2 linked regions of the Drosophila melanogaster genome follow. The protein of the gene in region 1 purifies or fractionates together with the protein of each later gene. This does not show direct contact. Each region holds a gene or a part of one and is shown on either strand. Other genes may lie near its edges.

What was found.
Region 2: the proteins of ppk25 (region 1) and ppk29 purify together in Drosophila melanogaster (affinity purification with western blotting; one study listed by BioGRID). This does not show direct contact.

The regions. Positions count from the first base shown.
Region 1 is NT_033778.4:6,947,145-6,953,866, reverse strand, and holds ppk25 (pickpocket 25), read right to left. Parts: upstream 3,483-6,722; 5' UTR 3,477-3,482; coding exon 3,163-3,476; intron 3,104-3,162; coding exon 2,822-3,103; intron 2,656-2,821; coding exon 2,556-2,655; intron 2,497-2,555; coding exon 2,305-2,496; intron 2,242-2,304; coding exon 2,017-2,241; intron 1,952-2,016; coding exon 1,709-1,951; downstream 1-1,708. Other genes in the region: CheB42a (chemosensory protein B 42a), read right to left, coding at 3,656-3,826, 3,887-4,063, 4,114-4,362.
Region 2 is NT_033778.4:24,051,174-24,060,545, forward strand, and holds ppk29 (pickpocket 29), read right to left. Parts: upstream 4,780-9,372; intron 4,717-4,779; coding exon of another isoform or gene 4,517-4,716; intron 4,462-4,516; coding exon of another isoform or gene 4,400-4,461; intron 4,347-4,399; coding exon of another isoform or gene 4,298-4,346; exon of another isoform or gene 4,133-4,297; intron 4,112-4,132; 5' UTR 3,961-4,111; intron 3,799-3,960; 5' UTR 3,701-3,798; coding exon 3,639-3,700; intron 3,580-3,638; coding exon 3,234-3,579; intron 3,163-3,233; coding exon 3,026-3,162; intron 2,971-3,025; coding exon 2,874-2,970; intron 2,805-2,873; coding exon 2,617-2,804; intron 2,546-2,616; coding exon 2,463-2,545; coding exon of another isoform or gene 2,455-2,462; exon of another isoform or gene 2,402-2,454; coding exon 2,354-2,401; intron 2,289-2,353; coding exon 2,201-2,288; intron 2,147-2,200; coding exon 2,025-2,146; intron 1,963-2,024; coding exon 1,856-1,962; 3' UTR 1,768-1,855; downstream 1-1,767. Other genes in the region: sei (seizure), read left to right, coding at 1-121, 184-304, 368-486, 544-598, 664-799, 857-996, 1,222-1,415, 1,482-1,576 and 1 more; CG13563 (uncharacterized protein), read left to right, coding at 4,298-4,346, 4,400-4,461, 4,517-4,716, 4,780-6,310; eEF5 (eukaryotic translation elongation factor 5), read left to right, coding at 7,313-7,518, 7,759-7,960, 8,023-8,094; RpL12 (ribosomal protein L12), read left to right, coding at 9,365-9,372.

The sequences.
Region 1 (6,722 bases):
CTTAATGCCTGTCACCACGTTGGTCAGGGCATTGAGGGACTCGCTAAGAGCACGCAGGGTCTCTTCCATTTTGATTTTTAGTTTGCGTTGGAAAGATGCAGGAAGCTTTCAAGGCAACAGAATTCGTTATTACTTTACGGAAATGTGAGACAACGGTTTTAACCCGATAAAAAAGAATATCTGTTCTTCTTTGCTTTTTCTTTATTTCTCTAAATTTAGCAAATATGGCAATAAAGTTTAATGAAATATTTCACTCACCCTTGTATGCTCTTTATTAGTTTTCGTCGTTTAGGTTGTACCCCTACAGCATGAATATTTTGTTTTCCTTTGAATTGTGGTGTTGTGCATGTGTTTATACAATTTTTGTGCGCTATTCCATTTTGCAATATTTTTTCCTTGCGTGCGTGCTGTTACAGTTTTTTATTGATGACCTCTAATTTATTTCGGCACTGGGCACGGTGGTTCCGTAGTATCCCTTTTGGCTGGTTGCCTACTAAGGTACGGCCGCCACACAACTTGTTGGGCGGTTTTTTTTGGGTGCATTCCACACCACTTAACGTATCCAACAAGCTGCCACACACCACCTTATCACTCTGGGCGCTCATATTACTCGTACTGCCGCAGGTAAACTGCTGCAATGGTTAATTATTGGTTTATTATACACAATCTTTTGCACTCGCGAATTGGCAAGGAGAGAAAAAAAAAAAAATTTTCCCACAAGCCGTACCGCCGCAGTGGGTTGATCGTGTTTTAATTATGTTATAGGTATCGTACAACTTTTGCGCTCGGCATGGGCGACGTGGCGTCCTCCGGTAGCGGGTCGTTGTTTTATTAATTTAAATTAGGTCTTGGCGCAACATAGGTTTACATTTTTATTTTAGAAATTTTACACCTTTTATTGAATTATGCAATATTTGTTGCGCCCCGGGATGGGCGTAGTTCCCCCCGGCAGCGGGTAATTGCTATTTTATCATTTTATACACAGCTCACGCAGCACTTCTTTTTCATTTATGGATTTCAGATCTTAATCTGACTTATGCACACCACCACTATTTTTACGCACAAATTTCCACAATTTTTTCGTATCACTTTTATCGGCCGGACATTGCCGGTCCCTGTTCGGGCGCCAGTTAACGCAAGTTCCACTTGCATCAGGGTTCTCGGCACTCGCTGCCGCATACCTCACCTTGATATGACAACCAACATGCTGTGGTTCTCCAAATAATAGTCAAGATAGTTAAGAGGGTTCGAGTTTACGATTAGCTTTATTTTAAGATTCAGTTCGCGATCTGCTAGCGGTTCCGTTATGTGTCCGTTCGAGACTGGGACCTCTTCTCCCGCCCCGCTGCTTTTATATCCGCTTCCCCCGTTGACCCCTCACCCTGAGTGCGACCAACGGCACTTGTTCCGAATGCACACATACACAAACATGTTCCTAGACAGGCCCCGAGTCGCCTGCTGACGGGGCCCGAAAACACGAGAGCCGAGCGCTGGTGAGTCCTGACGAAGATCGCAAGAAGAGGGTTCGTAACTTACACGAACATGTTACTAGACAGGCCCCGAGTCGCCTGCTGACGGGGCCCGAAAACACGAGAGCCGAGCGCTGGTGAGTCCTGACGAAGAGCGCAAGAAGAGGGTTCTTAACTTATATGTATATATTTGCATTACCTACATATATATGTATATATTAAGAAGCAATTTTAATTACTTAAAAAAAAAAACGCTTGCAAAATCGGTTCTTGCATGTATAAGCTATGAAAGTTAGAAAAAAGTATACCACGCCGTATATGGTCATGAAGCTGGCTCCAAGAAAGAGGCCAATGGCTCCACCAAACGACATTATCAACTGATCCGTGCTGAATACAACCCGCCGATTTATGCCCATCCTCGAAATTTGCAGGTTGATGATCAGCGTCCGCTCGAACCTCTCGCCAGAGTAGTTGTCATCGCCCTGAAGAAAGTAAATTCTAAATTGCAATAATTGGGGGCTTAAGGATACAACATTCTTTCACCCACCCCAGTCTGGTCAGACACTTTGAAGATGGTAAAGGTTTCCTCGCGACAAGACGGATAGCAATCGCATGGTCTTTCAAGCCACTTGGACCGGGCTAGGCAGAGCATTCCGGATACTGTGCAGATTGGAACTTCGGGAGCTGCTACGTAGAAATAGGGCTTGCAGTTGCACAGGCTCAGGGCCCATTTGATTCGGCACTCAAGTCGGCAAAGACTTGGGTGGTAGGGCTAAAAGGACATGTTGCTGTTTTGATTGGACGCAATTGGTACGGGTAAAGGTCTAAAACTCACACTGTAATACTGCAGATTGTTTTCGTCACTGAAGCGACACTTGCGATATGCTACCGGTAGATTTCGCACCTCGCTTTCCGCCGATGTGGTATGTAGCATAATATCGAGATCCTTGGATTCGATGTCTTTAGCATCAAAAGAGGGAGTTCGCATGTCGTCGGGTAGCATCATTTCTTCGACATCGTGAAGGTACTGTAAAGTTGGATTCGCTTAACAGTGTATTTCAAAAAAGAATGATAAATGCTGCCTACCATAAATATGGGGGCAACAATGCTATTTATAGGCTTCAGAGATGTGATGCAATTACTCAAATAGCCGCACTGTTTCATGGGTTCCATATCCTGTGTTTCTCTTAGATAAAAGCGTTAAGTAAAAATGTAAATGTAAATTCTCTTGATGGGCACAAAAAATATGTAAAGCAAAAAGCGAAATTAAAGAAAGAATAGCTTATTTATTTTATTATTTAATAATTTATTTTTTTTGTTTTATATTTAATGTTATTTAGGCGCAGACTTACAGTTTGCCGTAGGGATTTCCGTATCGGTTTAACTGGCTGGATGTTTGGCACAGACCCACCTCAGTAATGATTGGCGCCAGTTCTGGCGGGATTTTAACCGCTATTACCTTTTTTTGCAGCGTGAGCAAAATGTTCAAGTAATTCACGTTGTCCAAAGTGGTATCATTCTCGAAGGGTTCCAGCGTCTCCAGAGTGGAGTAACGAAGGCCGTTGATTGCAAGCAGAAACTTTCTGTAGTACACAGCTTTTTCTTTGTCTTCGCTGGGATCCACTCCCCAAGTTCTTGATATTTTATAATATATTAGTGCTTTCAATTTACCAATGTAAATCGAAACACTCACTGATTTATAAGCCTTGGGATCTCCGTTTCGTCGTGGTACCTAGGGCACAGTGTTATCCCCACGAAGGGGAAGATGCGCAGCCCAAAGAGATATTCGTACTCGTAGACAATAGGATTGTCCCGGAACCGGTACCATTGGTTAAGGCAGCTGCTGATGGCGTAGTAGGCCGAGCCCAGGATTATGAATGTCCAAAAGAGGCGCTCGGCCCAGTGTAGATCCCTGCGGGCGATGTAGGGCATGCCGTGGATGGAGGACTCCTGGCACAGCTCGGCGAGCCAGTCCGGTTGCTTCGGCCGACTCATTTTGGATTCCATGATGAACTGAACAGAAGTTCAGAAGTTCGCATTCAACTTTAGCGACCCGTGTAATGACACACAACAACACCACACCCTCCCCCCCCTCACCACCATTATTCACCTTGTTTGATGTGCTCCAATTATAGACTTTAATGGTGTTTCGCTGTATGTTCAGCATGCATATACAATTGTCGTGATTAGACCTGTCCTGCAGTTCCACGGAACTCTATGCAAATGGGAACTGGGCGCCTTACATTGCGCTTATCGAAGGCCTCTATTTGGACCACCAGCTTGTAGCGCCCATCCAGATTCGGAACATTCAAGCTGGTCTTCAAGTCCAGTTCGTAGTCTTTGTACTTTAAAACGGCCTACAATATTGTGTTTATGAGAAATGACCAGTGACCAAACTAGGAGGTACATTTTCTTACCCCTGGTGTGGTCAAGCACTTTTCCTTAATCTCGTCGGAGTTGCTAATATACTTTGTCCAGAAATTATACCAGTATTGGTTCTTATCAAACATGTTTTTGCAAAAGTTATTGGAGCTGGCCGTAAACATAGTCTTCTGCCAAGTGCCCTTATCCAGGCGATAGACTTGACCAAATACCTGCGCGATATTCAAATAGTTTATTAGGAAAAGTTTCCTTAGGGACTTGCCTTTAATGTGTCTCCAGGCTGGACATCTTTCCAGACCACTTTCTGCTCTCCTTCAATTCGAACTTTCGAACCAAGGTTATGTACTTTAAGGGAGGAAGTATCCACCATCGCTTCAAAACCAGAAGGATTTCCGGGCTGATTCTCGCATGGTGCTAACAAGCCATCTTTGTCCAATGTTAACTGGTACTCAGTCGCTCCAGCCAAACAGATGACCACTTGGAGCACCAGGATTGTAAAAGTAGCCTTCATATTAACAAGCTTTCCAGTATGAGGATGGGTACATAGTGCTAAAAACTGCACGTTATATACAGCTTAGGGGTCGTCTATGATTCTAATTGCACACAGTATAATATGATTATGATATGATAAAATCATTGTCTTTAATAATTTAAAAAGGGCGTATCTCTTTTGGCACGAAAATAAGTATGTTCGATTAAAAATTCGCGTGACTGTTTTTCTAAACTAAATATTAGACGAATGTCAAGTTCATAACCCCATTTACCCCATATATTTTCCGGAGTTTTGGCAGACAGCAAATTCATTTACCTGCCCGGCTAGCTCAGTCGGTAGAGCATGAGACTCTTAATCTCAGGGTCGTGGGTTCGAGCCCCACGTTGGGCGACCAATATTTTGTAGTAAATATTCAAATTTTAATAGTTAATTGATTACCAGAGAAAATCAATTGTCGAGACTCTCGACTATCGGATATCTTTTAATTAACTAATTAGGCTTAAAGCATATGCGAACATGGATGGATGTAATTATATATAAAAATGATTTTTATACCCGTTACTCGTAAATTAAATTGGTTGAGGAGTATGTAACAGGCATGAGGAAGCGTTTGCGACTATATAAAGTAGACATATTCTTAATCAGGATCAATAGCCTAGTCGATCTAGCCATGCCCGTCTGTCCGTATGAGCGTCGAGATCTATAAAAGCTAGAAGGTTGAGATTCAGCATACAGATTCTAGAGACTTGAGACAAAGACGCAGGGCAATTTTGTTGACCCATGCTGCCACGCTCACTGTAACGCCCTAAAACCGCCAAAATCGGCTGCGCCCACATATATTTGAAAAATTGTTGGACATTTTTTCATAATGTTATTAGTTGCTTAAATTTCTATAGATTTGCTAAAAAAAAACTTTTTGCCACGTCCACTCTAACGTTCTAAACCTTTCCAATTTTTCTATATCTATCAATATCCCAGAAAAATTATGAAATTTCGCGTTCGCATTCACACTAGCTGAGAAACGGGTATCTGATAGTCAGGGAACACGACTTTAGAATTCTATCTTGTTTTTCATTTCTAAACAAAATACTAGACGCATGTCTATAGTTCCTAACCCCATTTGATATATTTTCCCGAGTTTTGACAGACGGCAATTTTGTTTACCTGCCCGGCTAGCTCAGTCGGTAGAGCATGAGACTCTTAATCTCAGGGTCGTGGGTTCGAGCCCCACGTTGGGCGACCAATATTTTGTAGTAAATATACAAATTTTAATAGTTAATTGATTACCAGAGGAAACCCATTATGTCGAGACTCTCGACTATCACATATCCTTTACTTAACTAATTAGGCTTAAAGCCGATGTGCTCATGTACATATAATTATATAAATGATTTATTATGGTTTATGATTTTTTATAAATCAATTTATCTATAAATTACAATTTATTTATCTTGTCAAAACCTGCTGAATAGAATTATTTTTAAATAGGTAGATAAAAATGCATGTAAGGATAAGCTGGCTTGATCTTTATCTAAATGCAAATGGGCTTTAAACTTGACTAGATGGGCGAGGGACTAGTCAATACGCTTTCGTCTTGTTTTTAGCACCACAGGGTTTTTATACCACCATTATTCTTTAAGCTTATAGTATAAGTTTAAATTTAAAACTATTACGATTTCGATGATTTTGACAGTCAGATGTCAAGAACACATGCCCGGCTAGCTCAGTCGGTAGAGCATGAGACTCTTAATCTCAGGGTCGTGGGTTCGAGCCCCACGTTGGGCGATGTTTTTTATTTTAATTCAAAATTAATATACAATTAATAAACATTTTTTGAGCTCCACTTTCGGCAATTGATTTTTTACTAATTGGAAAATTATTAAGCATATTTAATTTGCCTAAAATGAGTCCCAATTAATTTGGAAGCTAAAAATAGTTTGTGTATATATGATACAAATGCATCTTGTGAATCTGCATAACCATTTCGAATAAAACAAAAGGCTAAAGGTATTACAACAATGTTTCTAGGTTTGACAGCAAAGCGCCCGTTGCCTTTAATCCGGCTTATATGCGCATGTATAAATATGCTTTCTCATATTTAGCAATGTGTTTATAGAAGTAATTTATAATTTTTATACCCGTATACCAAAGACACTAGAATAACTAGAATTTACTATAATAACACTAGAATTCTAGGGTCTTTGCTTATACTATATTCGTTAAAAAGTATGTACCAGGCAGAAGGAAGCGTTTGCGACCATTTTCTTATGTTTTTCTCATATTATTCCCCAATATCAATCGATAAGCCAGAAAAAATAAGGAAATTTCTAGTTGACATTGCCACTAGCTGAGTAACGGGTATCTGATAGTCGGGAAAC
Region 2 (9,372 bases), about 17 Mb from region 1:
GTATGCGATTGGAAATGCGGAAAAGTCTATCGCTTCCAAGAACATCGGTTGGCTCAATTCGTTGGCCTACGATATTCAAGAACCCTATTTCGACAACCGCACTGGTGGTCCCTCTATAAAGGTAGAGTTTCCCTCCGTCCATCTACTCGTAATCCGCATGACTCTAAACCGATCCTCTTGCAGTCGCGCTATATCACGGCTTTGTATTTCACGTTCACCTCGCTCACTTCCGTGGGATTTGGCAATGTGGCACCGAATACTGATGCTGAAAAGGCATTCACTATTTGCGTGATGCTCGTTGGATGTAGGCAACATCGATATATTTCTTTAAATACGTGTAATGAGACCTTTAATTTCCCCCCTCAAGCTCTTATGTATGCAAGTATTTTTGGAAACGTATCTGCCATTATTCAAAGGCTGTACTCGGGAACCGCCAGATATCACACGCAAATGCTGCGCGTTAGGGAGTTCATTCGCTTTCACCAGGTATTGAGCACGCACATCCTATAAGTATAGAACTGAGCACCTATTCCTATTCTGCAGATACCGAACCCGCTCAGGCAGAGACTGGAGGAGTACTTTCAGCACGCCTGGACCTGTAATACCATCTGACCTCCTTCCTCTTCCCTAGCCTAATCCTCTAATAATCCACTGCCCTTTCAGATACGAATGGCATCGACATGAACTCGCTGCTCAAGGGATTCCCCGAGTGCCTGCAAGCCGACATTTGCCTGCATTTGAACAGAAAGCTATTGACGACATGTGCCGCTTTCTCGGAGGCAAGTCCTGGTTGCCTACGGTGAGTTTGTGTCCAAGCGAACCAGTATGGAAAATGAACGAGTACTTGAACTTGCAGAGCGTTCTCCCTTAAGTTTAAAACCACCCATGCCCCGCCTGGCGATATCCTAGTACACCGAGGAGATGTGCTCACCTCATTGTACTTCATAGCCAGGGGATCCATAGAAATCCAGAGAGCCGGCAATATTGTTGTACTTGGTGAGTTCAGTGATTTCGGACCAACTGTCGTACATAAAATTAAACTCATAAATAAGACACTCTCTACCTCTTCTTTTTTTCTAGTTGTGAACTGTGTTCTATAGAGATATAGTTGCATGCTAGATTTTCCGTACATTCAGAGTTTACTTTAATTACTACTGCATAAGAAGTTATAGTTCGTTGGCATTTGCAATTGATAATTAATCAAAACTCCTCTTGCTCAAGGTAAAAACGATATATTTGGCGAAAATCCGTGTATTTACCCAACGGTCGGAAAGTCGAACGGCGTGGTGAGAGCACTGACATACTGTGATATCCACAAACTGCACAGGGACGATTTGCTGGACGTGCTGGACTCGTATCCGGAGTTCCTGGAGAGCTTCGTTAGCAACCTGGTAATCACCTATAACATGAGAGATGTGAGTAAGCGGACCTCGTTGCAGTGAGTGCATAACTGAACGGTGGCCATATCCTGTTCCTTTCAGGACGAGCACTCTGGCGTCGATATCAAGCACCGCTACCTGAGAGCAAAGTCCTCCGACAAAATGAGGAGCTCTCCTGACATACCCTCTATAAGAATGTAAGCGAATACCACGTTGCGGGAGAATGCTGTCTTACGTACTTCTTTTCAGAGTCGGGCTGCGTTATAAGAAACAAAATGTTAATACTTCTGTGCATAAAGTTAAGAATGATAACTCCCGAGACCTTAATATCTTTATAGAAAACGAAATCGCAAACTATCACCTTGACTTGTTCGATAATAATAATTAGGGCTCACTTATGCTCGCTCAATCCGAATTATCTTATTTATTTGTGCACAAGCTGTTGCGAGGCTAAAGAGCGAAAAGCAATAAAGGTCCTAACCGAAAATCATGGTCTTGAGTTTTTTAATGAAGTACGAAATGATCTCCAGTAGGTTCAGCAGGGAGGCGCCGAAGAAGAGTCCTGCCACACTTCCGATGCCGACTGAAACGGGATTCGGCGGGATTAGTTCCGAAGTTAGCCGATTGGGTTGGCAGCAGGCATACCTATTAGATCCAGCTTGGTCTGGGTGACTTTTCGTTCGTACCGCACCGTGGGTGGAGAGGCTATTTGAATTTCGGTGATCTGTGTATTATTATTGTAGAGTGTTCCATTTTCAGTTATGACCCTGCCAGAGAAGATGGGCTATTAGCAAGGATATAAACTATTTTGGGGCCTTTACCCCACTAGACTTATCTGCTGCTCCACGCAGGATGGCAGGCAAACCGTACTGCTACCGACGTACTCCTTAACTCTGGTTGCAAACCCTTCTGTAATTCGATTATCATTAACATTGACAACGGATTTCATCGGTCAAAGTCTAAGACATAGTCACCTTTAATCAAGCAATCCGCGTGTTGCAATCCGCAATAGAGACTTTCGTCTGCAAAAGAAACAGGGCAATGAAGTCACCTTTACTTTCATCATTCAAGTGCCTCACGTACTGCGATCCTTTGGGTTGAATAGAGAGCAGTCGCAAGTTTTCATCTCAAACTCACTCCGGATGATAGACATGCAGGCCGAGAAGCTGCGTGGAACAGAAAAAGAAGAAGCAGAAGCAGGTAACTCCGGATGAGTAACTCACTCACCTACTCCTACCTGTAAGGAAACCCCTCGATGGAACTCTCGCTGGGGAACTTGCACTTGCGCTGGGAAATGGGCTCGTCGATGACACCTTCGTGGTTGTGAATCTCCTCGACGTTGAAGGCGTATGTTGTGGGGTCGGTGGAGATGGTATAGGTCAAGGAATTGAAGAAGGGCAGATCCTCGGGACTGTTGACGTACATCTTAGATGATGAGCACAAGTGTTATTTTGTTAGCTATGTGTTAGCCCAGCGAAACGTATCCCATCTCACCTCATATTTATACATAACAGAACTTCGCATGTAGAGTCGCAGACTTCGGTTGTTATCCAACGAAGAATACCTGAGAGGCATTTCTTCGATGCTGTCACTGGAGTAGGCATTTATTTTATTCGCGATTTGAACTACTAAATATTAACACTAACTAGTCCAATAGATTGTTCGCCAGAAAGCAGTAGCCCATTTCCGTCACATGAAACTTGAATATCTCCTCGCAGTCTGTCACCAATTCGCCACGAAAGTATATTTCTTTAAAGCATTCAGTACAATTGGTTGGAAACATCTAGAAGTGCAAATGGTAATTTAGTTCAAATATAATCCAAAGTCCCCCCCCCCCCCATGCGACACCGACACCTTTCTTCTTATATCCAAAATATTGAAATTGTACGGGTAACTTGTATTCTTGGTAGGCTCCTTCGTAAATATGTTGTTGGGGTTGAGAAAAGCATATTCGTATATCATTCTTGTAAAGGAGAAGGCAAAGTCTTCCTGAAAATACTCCCGCATCATTGCCTTGAATTCGTTAAACGCTCGGCTTTTTGTTAAGCAGATTCCTATCGATGGGAAGGTGTTTATCCAGCGACTGTAGGCGGTCGAGACCCCTATTGTCGTGGAGTCCGTTTCGTATCTGGTTTTCAATAGAACCAATATGGAAACGGTGCTCCATCCAGAAATGCCAATCACAAAAATCCAAAGCAGCCTGCAAAGAGTGATGGTTTTGCGAACCGTAGACAATATCCTCGAATCGCTGACTCTTACCCTTTATTTTCCACAAAAGACCTTATAAATCCTCGAAAATTCATTACTGACTTCCGCCACATTTCGTATTCATGAAATCCTTTCCACAATTTCTTCGTGACTAATTCGAAAATATATGATGTCCATCCTTTATTTAAATACGGAGGGATGCACGCAAGTTCTGATGCAAATCGAGCGTGTCGTTTAGATTAATGGAGAGATAAGAAGAAAACATACTCGTAGCTTTGAAATGCAACTGCATACTGCACGCAATGTTCAGATGCACTAATGGGTATCAAAGATGCGAGGGAATCGGTTCGTTGGGCTGCGAAAGTGTGCATACCTTTTGAAAGTGTATCCAACTATATAGATGCAACAATTATAACTGAAGATGGGCTTGTCCAAGCGTTGCGTTTTATGCTCCATAGCACACACGCCACCATTTGGATGCAGCATCTGGGCACTGACTTGGCAACAATCATTCACTCGGGAACCTAGGCGGATAAAATATAATAAGAAAATTAAATGCACATTTACCACAAGTGTGAGTGATCTGGCAAATGCATATATCCCTGAAAAGTCGATCATCTCTTTGATTCCCAGCCAAGTAGCAAGTAATGTGGATGAAAAACCAATGCTGCTAGTCTTGAACTGTCTGCAGCCAAAATCAATCGCTCAAGATGCTGGGGAAAGTGAAAGGCAGCATTATTGTCATTTACATGACCACTGGTATGGAGGTTAAAATCAATAAATTCGAATTAAGCTCACCCGCTTCGCTTCAGGACTGCTGTACATACTGCTGAGCATAAAGTCATCCGCCAGCTACATGAGGCCAAAACGCCAGGTAAGCATTCGACGCCAGGAAAAGCGAAAGTATGAACGCCCGCATCGACTTTCAGATGTGGCCCGTGGATCATCCAGGGATCGTCCTCTATAGACAGCACCCGAACGCCATGCGAAAGTTCTACTGGTACAACGCTAGGACCCCGATCCTGGTGGGCAAAATGCGTCTAAAAAACTACATGCGCAACATGCACATGCTGCCCCGATACGTGCCCTCACCTGTCCAGTTCCACGAGGCCTATGCGAACTCGAAGAGGTCTATATCAGCGCACATATCATCCATTTGTGCATACGTATAATCATAGTGGATTTCTTTCAGGAGCATCTTCAGGGACTTGAGCCAAGTGAATGGGTTCAAGAGCACACTCCTGCCCATTGCTACTTCCACCGTTGACTTCGTTGCGGCCCCGCTCAACACGATTGAGTACAGTTCCCCTCCGGTAAACGCACCTATTGGTTTCAGTTCAGCCCCAGTCAACGCCTTCGTGCCCCTCACGACGGGAACCCTTCCGAGCGCAGAACGCCTCATTGGCGCTCCGAGTCTGTGGAACCACTCCGAAACCCACGCCTCCAACGACGGCTGGAACAAGTGCCGCGAAAACTGCCTCCAGATTCCGTTCCAGGAGTATGCCAAGGACCAATACAGCTCGCAGAGCAAGACCAGTGACCTGCCGGTGACCACGACAACCACTTTGCCCTACTTCAACTACGTTGCGCACACCTACTTCACCCTTGACGACGTGATTCTCCCCCATTCCGCATCGAAACTCGGCAAATCTCCAGCACAAGACCAGCAATTTCGGCCCAGTCACCAAATTCTCACAACGGAAAGGCCCCAGGAGCTTTTCACCGAGCGGTTTCAGCACACCACGCCGCCTCCAACTACAACAACCACGACCACTGAATTCACTTTTCCGGGGAAAACCACTGCTTTGGAAATGGAGTACAGATATAGCACCCGACCAAGCTGGTTTAGCCCCACTACCTCCAGCACCACAACAACCGAAGCTGCGGCTTCTGAGGATCCCCCGAAATGGACAACTCCGCAACCCGCTCAGAACGTCTATTCCACGGCGAATGTTACGACAGGATCCTATAAGCACAGACTAAAATCCCTGAAAGCGACCAAAAACTTCTCTTCAAGCATTGAAACTAAACTGAAACTTTTGAAGCTTCATCTTAAAAACCTGGTTACAACTAGGGAAACGCCGAAGAACGTTCAGAATCTAACGACTACAGCTGTTCTTGACAACCACACCACTTTGGAAACGACTACAACAACAACTACGCCCACACCGCCAAGAAGAAGAACAAACGTCAATAGAAAACTGAGAAAACTGCGAGTTTTGGCATCGACCAAAAAGGTTCCGGTGCAGATTTCGAGAAATTCTACAGATTCCAGCAAAGCCATGGGAGAATTCAAAAAGAGTTTACCGAAAAGAATTTACCAACGGCGCAAGCACTTGAACTCCACTGCAATGCCAGAAGCCGCGAAAAACACAACAGCTGATACCGATATCGAAACGATAAAAAAGCTTAAGCGCCGAACAACAGCAACACCCCGGAAATCGACGAAGGTCGATGATAATGTTATCGTTCGAAACGCTACGCAGGCGATAAGTCACACTTTGGCAAAATCTCGCGCCGATGGTATATCAGAAGAAAAACACGCTTTGGTCACAGAATCGGCAATTATGACTATTTCCAGTGGTACTTTAAAAATGAGGCAGCCCCATATTAAGGCAAGGTCAAAGCCGCAAAGGTCCAGAAAAATGTCGCACCTGGAAAACGATAATTTCATACCGTCGTTGCCCATTGAGGTTTATTTTAAAAAAGTAAATCAGCAGTAAATTGCTATAGTCTTCGAGTCATGCGTATACATTGTGTAAATGAACAGAGCAAACTAAAGTCTTAACCATTATTTATACTTACAGAGACATTTTAAGCACCAAATACATAATAAAACAAAAAATTAAGTGTTTACTTGCAACATACATACATACATACACATATAGCTTATAAATAGTTGTTTTCAAATTTAAGACTGAGTTGGCAGGCCATTGTAAGTTTGGCGAAAATACGGCATCGGCCTTATCGTTCCATTCCCACAGTTCCTAAACTGGCACAGCGACCGGTGCTGACAATCCGTGTGCTAAGATGCAGCACTGTGCGTTTCTTATTATTGACCGGAAACAAAACGTGGGTTTGATTCGATAGCAGGGTTCTTTCATTTTACATCTTCGGTTGGAACAGTCACTGGACTTTGCAAGTAGGTTAGTAATTTCGCATTTTTGTGTATAAAAAAATTGCAAATTCGCCGGAGAAGCGGCGGACGACCTAAATGGCACTTACAGCCGGAGGAGACGGTCAAAAACGGCTTGGAAGCCAGAATTAACCTCCGGTCATCTCGGCACATTCAGTAATATGCGAAAGAAAGTGCTTACACTCACACAAGCACACATACACACATACAAGTGCAAAAATGCAGTACACAACTTTCAAGTGCCGTGTGTCTCGATGACTTTGCCAAATTAAATGTTTGAACACTAAAGTGCCAAGTGCCTGGGTATGCAATTTGGCATATGACATTTCGGATACATACATTTGCCGACACATATATACATACGTATGTATGCATTTTTTCGGCTTGCACACACACGTATTTACATACATATGTGCGAATCCGTCTGTGTCTGTATGTACCCATAGAACGCCGAGGTATATAATGTGCTTTCAACACCAGCTAGTGTCTTTGTGCCTAAGTGTAAATGCATTCAAATCCCAATTAATCGGCAGTTAATTAAATAGATAAATAATTAATTCAATCACATCTTGTGTCTTGTGCGGCAGATATGGCTGAGTTGGACGATCAATTCGAGACCACGGATTCCGGCGCATCGACGACCTATCCCATGCAATGTTCGGCATTGCGCAAAAACGGATTCGTCATGCTGAAGTCGCGGCCATGCAAGATTGTCGAGATGTCTACTTCAAAGACTGGAAAGCACGGACACGCCAAGGTTCATATGGTTGGCATTGATATTTTCTCTAACAAGAAGTGAGTATATTCGCATATTTCTTCCTATCTGGTGGCAGCAGCATTTGCGGAGAACACAAAGGAAGCGACGCGCTGCTCTTGAATGTAATCAACGAAAAGTGTGCGCAAGCAATCTTATCTTGGACCAAAGTTATCAATAAATTTATGGAGGAAAATTAGAGTTCAACGCGGCGACGCCACCTCAAGCCAAATCCAGATCCTCTTACTTAACGCCTGCTTTGTCTATCGTCGTCTTTGCAGATATGAAGATATTTGCCCATCTACTCATAACATGGATGTGCCCAATGTCAAAAGGGAGGACCTTCAGTTGATTGCTATTAGTGACGATAGCTTCCTTACATTGATGACCGAGAGCGGAGATCTGCGTGAAGACTTGAAGGTTCCAGAGGGCGAATTGGGTGAACAATTGCGTTTAGATTTTGATAGTGGCAAGGACTTACTGGTGAGTTTGCCTCGACACCATATTATTATTTCGCAGAGAATAATTTAATTATACTTTTTCAGTGCACCGTTCTCAAGGCGTGCGGAGAGGAGTGCGTTATCGCAATTAAAACCAATACTGCTCTGGACAAATAGGCAAAATGTGTCGCTGTAAATTTCTGTTGCATTTACATCTGAAACAAATTTATTCAAAGATGCTGTTATAGGCTAGTTGGCTCTACATCTTAAATCTGGTTCTAACGATTGTAATTAATATAACAGAAACTCGAAGCATCATGTTTGAATAACTAAGTAACAAGATACACGTTTGCCAATAAAATTTTTTACCTAAACGTCATCCGTAAAACTATGATTCTCCTGTTTTTCATTGGGTTTAAGCTCTTTATTTCAGCAAACTTTATTCTAATTCGCACAGCTAAATGGGAAAAGTAAACAAAATGTTGGTCTGGACGCACGAATGAATGGCGTCACTTAGCATTGTGATGGTAAACGGCGGGAACCAGATGGGGTGACGCTACCGGTTTTGAATGGGTACAAGATGAACTTGTATTATTGACAACGCTACTGAGCTTTGCTACACCCCATTTAAAAGTGTAGTGTATCCTGAAAAAGATAAGGTACTCGGATATAGAGAATGGAGGAGGCATATTGTTTGAGGCAGGTCGGAATTTCGTATAGTACCAATTTATGTATGTACATGTACATATGTACGGTTTAAATGCCGTTGTTAAATAACATTTCAACATTGATGTACCGACTTTCGGAAAGGTCAAGTAAAAGTACAAAAACAATAAAAACAATTTTCATAAGTTGTAAGATTAGAAGAATAATCGATAATTTTTTAAGCCAAATGCCAATCAATCGATATACCAATTGTCTTGTAAATCGGTTTAGTAAGTTGATAGAGAAAATTCAAATAAGTATTTCTTCAGCTAGCAGATATAAATTACTTGCATAATCATAAATAAATATTAGATTGAACTAACAAAATTGAACTAACTGAACTAACAAGAAGATAAAAATATTTACAACGACCGCTATGAAATGTAGTTAAAAAAATGTAAATCTGAATTTTAATTAAACTTAAAATATATCAACTAGTATTTAACATTTTCAACAAAAAAAAAAGATTTCTTAAAGCCTAATTTCAAATTAAGAATAAATAAAAATATAAACTCATTACACTCGTTTCAATTCCGCGTTCCATTCGAGACACTTTTTATTCCGATAGCACTGGGCGATACATCACTTGCAAACGGTCCTCCCGGAAATCGATAGCTTCTTCTTTCTTTTTCTGTGTGTCTTTTTTGCGGTAAAGTACATGAGCTGAAAATGTCTCAAATAAAATCGGCGAAAACTAACGTAATCTTTGCCTTACAGCGACTGTTCAAGCCAAGATACCGCTATGCCTCC